2 linked regions of the Solanum lycopersicum genome follow. The protein of the gene in region 1 interacts with the protein of each later gene in a pairwise test. Links are inferred from orthologs where the notes say so. Each region holds a gene or a part of one and is shown on either strand. Other genes may lie near its edges.

What was found. The genes of interacting proteins can lie anywhere in the genome.
Region 2: the proteins of protein LSD1 (region 1) and transcription factor SRM1-like interact in binary tests that used the Arabidopsis thaliana proteins (3 or more experiments, as listed by UniProt). The link is inferred for Solanum lycopersicum from reciprocal best matches to the Arabidopsis thaliana genes LSD1 and AT5G08520.

What each region holds. Positions count from the first base shown.
Region 1 is NC_090801.1:55,747,895-55,751,653, reverse strand, and holds the start of protein LSD1, read right to left. Parts: upstream 2,540-3,759; 5' UTR 2,122-2,539; exon of another isoform or gene 1,839-2,121; intron 1,665-1,838; exon of another isoform or gene 1,662-1,664; 5' UTR 1,583-1,661; intron 1,420-1,582; 5' UTR 1,418-1,419; coding exon 1,306-1,417; intron 938-1,305; coding exon 827-937; intron 1-826.
Region 2 is NC_090803.1:3,079,642-3,083,400, reverse strand, and holds the start of transcription factor SRM1-like, read right to left. Parts: upstream 2,279-3,759; 5' UTR 1,695-2,278; coding exon 1,309-1,694; intron 435-1,308; coding exon 17-434; 3' UTR 1-16. UniProt on the Arabidopsis thaliana protein: Transcription activator that coordinates abscisic acid (ABA) biosynthesis and signaling-related genes via binding to the specific promoter motif 5'-(A/T)AACCAT-3'. Represses ABA-mediated salt (e.g. NaCl and KCl) stress tolerance.

The DNA of each region.
Region 1 (3,759 bases):
GAACATGTGCTTGGAGAAAAATGTATACACCAAGTTAAATCCACCAATTACCAGTCATAACTAAGTTCTGTTTGCAAATTACAGATGTGCTGCAAAATGAAGCAGATATGACCAAAAAGTAAAGCTGATAAGAAGATTAAACAGCAGATATCTATATCTTATGTGACTGGCTACTAGTTTACAAAGAGCACCAGATCAGGTTATTATTTTCGAGGAATAACCACACTCAAGAGAAATCAATTGGACTTACACCTATCTGTCAGGCAAAACTTCTGATAAATTGAGCATCAATAGGAAAAAACATAACACAAACATACAATAATGAAGCTTTTTGGTGATCCCATAACCATATTCCACCAAGTCTGACAAAGACATAAATTTATACAGCTCCCTTCCCCCAGGCAAAAGCTTGAAGTGCTCGAAAGTTGTGAATTTCAGCTGGGACCACACTCTAAACTCATAAGTCATAACATAGTTCAACTAAAAACACAACCATACCGAAATGTTCACTTATGTATTACATAGTTAGATCATCAAAGTAATGTTACTCTTCCAACAGATTTTTCTGATGTAATACAAGAATAAAAATGCTGGTATCTCAATTTGAGATCTCATATGATAAACTTTTGATGAATATGTAGGAAAAAGATCTCATATGATAAATGAAAACAACCGAAGGTCAAGCTTAAGTGGATAATATCAAAAGTTAGATTCATATTCTGTTCAAATGAAGGAAACATTTCATTCCAGCAAAGAGACACTAGATTTTCATAACCAGACAAACATTAGTCTCCGAAATCAAGGGAAGGGATGTTATAAACTGTACCTGGGACAAGGTTCACCGTATGACAGCAGGAGCATCTCACACTGTTCGCTCCACGTGGATGCATAAGTAATGTACGACAGCCTCCACATATCAATTGAGCCATTTCCATTCCTGAGAAAGATCAAAATTTAAGCAACACCTTCGAGTAACAGAACACAATAACAACTACGCTTCAATCCATGTCAAGGCAAAACAACAAACAATACTACATCTCAATCCAAACAGATCTATACACCAAGCCTCCCCAAACCTAGCCCACTTTATGGCTTTATTTACCATGTCAGCATCAAGCATAGCGTTACTATTAGATACTCAAAATGTTTTTAAGTGCACTAATTTTCTTTCCTAACAACAATCTTCTAGCAACAACACTTGTAATCAACATGGAAGGGGGCCATAATCCAAAAATCAGCCACACAAATTTGAAAGAAAAAAAAAAGTACTTATAACCACATCAGAATCAAGAAAAGCACAGATACCAGGTGGTGGGACAGGGGTGAGTGCATTGCACACTGCACAGCAGACATTAGAAGCTCCTCTGGGATAAAGAAGCATTGTCCTGCACCCACTGCACATCAACTGACTCTGCATATCTGTCGAACAAAAAACATTAACCAAATAGTAATGGCAAGCTCACAAACTAAATTGCAAAATGATCTTTGAGTTACAGTTCTCAAGATTGTAATAAATCTAAAAGTCCATCATGAAACAATGAACTTCGTCTTAACAATCTCTGTTGAGACAAAAAGGTTTCACCTTTCAATCTGTTTGAATATCGAGTCGTCTGAGGTAGAAGAGCTAATTTCTGCCGATCTGTGAGGTAAATTTATTCTTCCTGCTTGACAAAATGAAAGAGAACAATAAATACTTTTCTTCAAGAAAGTTCCTTTCATAATTATTCATCCAATGGTTGAAGCTACAATCTTTTTTCTCAGGATTCACAGATTATACACACAAGAAAAATTCCTATATCAAGTTTTTCATGCTAAGACGGGTCAAACACAAATCTTACAAAAAAAATTGTTTAATCAAACACCCATAACCATGAGTGTGGCTCATCAACCAGGTTCAAATCTCAGCAGAGGAAGAAAAAGCTAGGTAATTTCTAGAGCTAACCAAAACGAGAGCCCTTGCCCCAAATTCTTCCTACCCACCAACCAAAATTTATCCACAATCAATTACACCCATCACAAACATGATTGAAAAGTAAAAAAAAATATCATGTTTAGCCTACCAAATTAAAAGGGAAAACCCCCCAAGAAATTGGATAAAGAAAAAAAAAGCAATCTTCTTACCAGTCAATGAACAAATCTGGAAGATAGGGTACCCCTCTATTATAATATATATATCCCCACACACGAAAAAAAAAAAATATACAGTGAAGGGTACTTGAGATTATCTGAAAATGGGTTGGAATTCAAATGGAAATCTGAGCGAAAATTCCGACAGAAATTGGGTAAATTCAAGATTTCAAAAGATTGGTTTTTGGATATTTTTCTTACATCTCCTTTTTTCTTCTTGTTAAATATTGGGAATAAATGTCTTTTGACCTGTCTACGAATAAAATAAAATAAAATAAATTCTTCCGCTTTCAATTTATTTATTTTATTTTATTTTTTATAAAATAATTTTTTAATTATAATTTTATATGATATATTTAAAATTGCAAAATTATAACTGAAGCTATTTTTAGATAAGGTATAATGCGTATATATGTTTTACCGAAATTAATATGTGATGTATAGAAGTTAAATATATTATCTATTAAAATTACATATTTAATTTTATACGCAATTCACATAATTTAAAAGAATATTTGTTCATAGCTAGTCAAAGTTTTTTACTTTGCTATTGCTACGCTGCATTAGATTGAAATGAGATTCGAAAAAAATAATGTTATTTTTTAAAAAAATTGTGTTAAAATAAAAATAAAATAAATGAATTGAAATGAGAGAATATAAATATTAATTAAAAATACAGTTATTATTTTTTTTTTTTAAATAAGAAGAAGGCTTTTGAATAAGGAACAGAGAGTATTCCTGTAAATTTTGAAATTTATTTGTCAAATTTTATCCAAACGCGTTAACTTATATTTTCTAATAATTTTTCCTTTTGTTGACATCAAAGATTTCTACGTAAAAATAAATATTTAAAAAATTAAAGAGAGATAGAACCGAGTGATGAGATTTTGTCAACAGAGAAAAAAATTATGACGATAGATTATTTTAATCACAAGATTTGTCATAAAATTTTCTATTAAAGATTAATCATATGTATTCTAGTCATCCCATAAGAATTCTTAATAGTTGATTCTAGAATTCATTTATCATTTAAATATGTACCTCGTCTACAGTCACACTGGATATTTTTTGTCGTAAAATTACATTATAAATATATATATATTAATAGCTTAGCTAAAAATTTTATGAAGGATATTTAAAAATTTTATAGCTCGTAAAAATAATTTAAAAAATGAGTGTCTTTAAATTTTGTAAATCAAACTACAAAATATTAATTATTATTTTTTAAAATTAAAATATACCAAAATTTTTGAAATCAAAGTACATACTAATTTAGCTTTAATGTTTACGTTTATCTATCTCATAAGAGTGAACGAACAAAAAAAAAGATATTTTAGTTTAGAGTAAAATCACTTTTATACTCCAAGATTTCACAAACCTCTGATGACCAACAACGAGAAATGAAAAATAAAAAATAGAATCAAATGAGTTATATTAAAAGAGAATTTATATAAAGTATTTTCACTTTTAGTAGCATTATGAAATAAATAAATAAAATTTGCTTATTAACTTTAAATTAAATAATTTCTTTTAAATTTTATTTAAATTTTCAATGAAAAGAAAAAAAATAGATTTTGCTTATTAAATTTAAATTAAATACTTATTTTCAAACTTTATAAAAGTGTTTAATGA
Region 2 (3,759 bases), on another chromosome or scaffold:
AGATGTACCAGAAAAGTCAAGGTTGGTCGTAGTAATATCCCAAACTTGAACCCATAATGTCCAAATCCTGAATCTGCCTCTGATCAACTACGTTAACCATTGGTCCTGTTACTGGTTGTCCGATGGTGGTTGCTCCATATATACCAACTCCAATGGGAGCAATTGGTGCTGTTGGAGATAGTTTGTTGGATTTGCCAGAAGAACCAATTGTTTGGCCAGTGATTGGAACTCGAGGTACGGAGACATCTCCGTTATTAACACTAGTAATGTCATGTATACTTGTTCGTCTTCTGTCCTTGTTCATCGAGTTTAAACGTATGAAATATTTTTGGGCATGACTGGCCACTTGTGTAGGAGTTCTTGTCACAACAAAGTTTCGAGAGATACTTCTCCAATCACCTTTCCCATATTTTTCCAGTCCAAGAAGGAACAATCTGCATACCAACAAAGATAAAGCAAATGAAGCAAAACTCTGTCAGTACAAAATATCGGGAGGATGTTAAACGGTATCTAGAATGCAGAAGACGTCAGCAAGAATATGCATCTTCAATTATTTTCTCTGCAGCCATGGTTCTTACAGCCAACAAAATGAGAAGTCCAATTGCTACAAAACAAGATCCAGTTTCAGGAATTTCAAGTACAACACGCAGTTTAGGATGGAAAGGTGAATCCAAGTGAAAAACCATTGTCCGATTAAAATGCAGGTAGCTTGAATTGGACAAAAAAAAAGCTCTAGAGATTAGGAAAAGATGCATCAGCCTGTAATTACTGTACTAATGCATAAACAGACATCTTTAATCTTAACATTCAGACACGCGAAAACCCCTGAATCACTTAGAATGTTTCTCTATCGATCACATCTCCCATCGAAAGAGAATTTTCTGAAAGTGACAGCAGGATAATACAGTTTAACAAATGTCTGCCAACAGCTTAGTTAGTCCTATTACTTCATGAAGTACACCCTCATAACGACAGTCGACAGTCACTACGTTTCCAGGCAAAGAAAGTTTTCGGCAGAAGGCGCATAAAGCTAAGTTTGATAAGATTATATTCACTGAAACATGAAGGGAAAAAAGAAACAGAAAGTACCACTGCACTCTCCTAAATGACATGTAGCAACCTCAAACACAAGGTATGAAACTCATGAGTTAGTGTTCTGACTTACACTCCAGCGTTACCCGACCCTCAACCTATCGAATGATGGTGGAGGTGCTCGACCACTTGAACAAGCCTCAATTGTCTCAAACAAATATACAATAAACAAGCTTAATATTGTATTGAAATAACTGAAGTTCAACGGTTACTGACCTGTGCTCATCCTCCGTCCAAGCAACCCCTTTACGCCGGTCCTGCTCCAATTTAGTAGATTTACCTCCATCATTTGACTCACTATTTAGCCTCCCTGAAACCCCACTCTTCTTGCCAATTCTTTCACCACCAACATCATTGCACAAAGACCTGTCAAAAGTAGAGTTGTACCAAGGCAAAGGAACATAACCAGACTCGATTCGACTCACATCATCGAGTAAAATTTCGTAATGATTCTTAACCTCTTGTAAGGTTTTCCCTTGAACATCAGCTGCAATTTTCTCCCACCTATCTACACAATCCTCAGGATAAGTTGCTAATGCATTCTCAAATTCTATATCTTGCTCTCTGCTCCAAATTGAGCTTCTTGATTTATCTACTGTCATTCTTGAAATTCACTATCAAACTTTTTCACTGAGACATTTTATCAAACAGGTACTATGCATTCCCATAAAAAAATCTTGAAAATTCATTTCTAAGCACATATATATACACCAGTACACTGCAACAACAACTACGCCATGCTAGTTGGGATCGACTATATGAATTCGATTTAAATTAGCATAATACATAAATATAACCTTTAATTTGGTTTCGAATCACTTTTATCTCATTCAACTTTCAGCGTGCACAAGTAAACACTTAAACTTATATAAAGTTGAACAAATAGACACACATGTCTACATGTCATCCTACATATCATTTTTTATCCTACGTGTATAGTATCATGTATGCTCACGTGTTTATTATTTAAAAATTTAATAGTTAAATAATTGTTTGAGCATTTAAACTCAAATTTAAAATCTAATATATATATTATGTCATTTAAATTTATCTCAACCTAACAAATATTATACTAAAAACAATTAAAAAATTATGATTGGAAACAATGTATTAGACCAATGAGGTCAATAATAATAGAAACAAAAGGGTACCAAAAATAGAAAAATATACAGTTGAGCAACTCAAATAAATATTATTGGGTACCACAACTTTATTTATAATTATTCAAAATTTTGACATTTTTGGACTGGTGACCCTATTGATTAAAAAACGCACCAACTTTATTGAAAGACTGAAAAATACTACAAACATTTATGTAATGTTCGTCTATTTTTAATTGTCATAATTTTTATTTTAGAATCAAAGATAAGTATTTAGATTAATATTTTATGATATATTTTTTCATCAAATTAATATGTAAAAAAATCATAAAGTATAGTATTTTTAAATTTTTTGTTTAAAATATTAAATTAATTCAATATAATTTTACTTTTAAGATTAGTTAAATTGACTTTCGAAAAGTATAACATGATAATTAGAAGTAGACGAGAGGAGTAGCTTTAATAGCTACATCGTTGGTACTATTAAAAAATTATATATCGAATGTTTGTGCATTTTTAAAGGATCTGTCATAATTCAATGATAATTAAGGTTGTGAATTTCGAATATTTGAGGTCTATAAAGGAAATAGATAGATTTAATAGTTACGTGGTTCATTCTTTTCAAAAATAATATATTGAATGTTCGTGTATTTTTAAAAGATATGTCATAATTCAATGTTAGTTAAAGTTATGAAATTCGGATATTGAGCGACTAAGTGAAATTTCGTGGAGTTTTGAAAGAACTTATTGATTTATTTAATGTTATTTTTAGGAAATGAAAATGCTTAAAAAATAGTAGTGAGTACAATGAATAAGTTGTGCAAAAGAGATATTTTGGATTATAATACTACAGGACTAAGGACGGCATACACTGTATCTTCTTTAACAGTAGCAGATGTTTAGGACAACGAAAATGTCCAAAGAATGAAGTTGGTGTATAATGATTACGTAGTATTAAGGTCTGCATTTGAAATTTGAACTTGACGTGAATTTTAAATTTTTTGTACCACTAAGTCAGTCTCTACTTTATATTTAGCGAATTCAAAATCTTTACATATATATTTAAAAGATTACCTTATATCTGTATCGTGTGTTTTTTAAGAGGTTCAGATAAATACTTTATAAGACTCTAAAGTCGTTCGTATTTCCTAAATTCAATTCATAAAATTATATTGAATATATTATGGTAATTTGATTAAAGAGAAGTGAAAGGGACTGCAATGAATGAAACCAATAAAAAAAACAGTATTCAAATAATCATCAACAGGCAAAAATCCCATGTTGATAACAACTGTTTTGCCAGTAGTACAGGCCCCACTTTCTCATCTTACTGCAGTAAAACTAACCTTTTCTTTTTATCGAGACATGGTATGATATATATCGAATTATTATATCATATTAAAAAAATTTAATATTATAATTTTTGTATTATGATATACATTTTAATTTTTTTTTTATATATTTTAATATGATATCTGATATTTAAAAATTGAAGTATGTAACAAATATGCAACATAGCATAATATAATTGAGATATTTTTTTGGATATTGTTTAAGTCATAAAAAT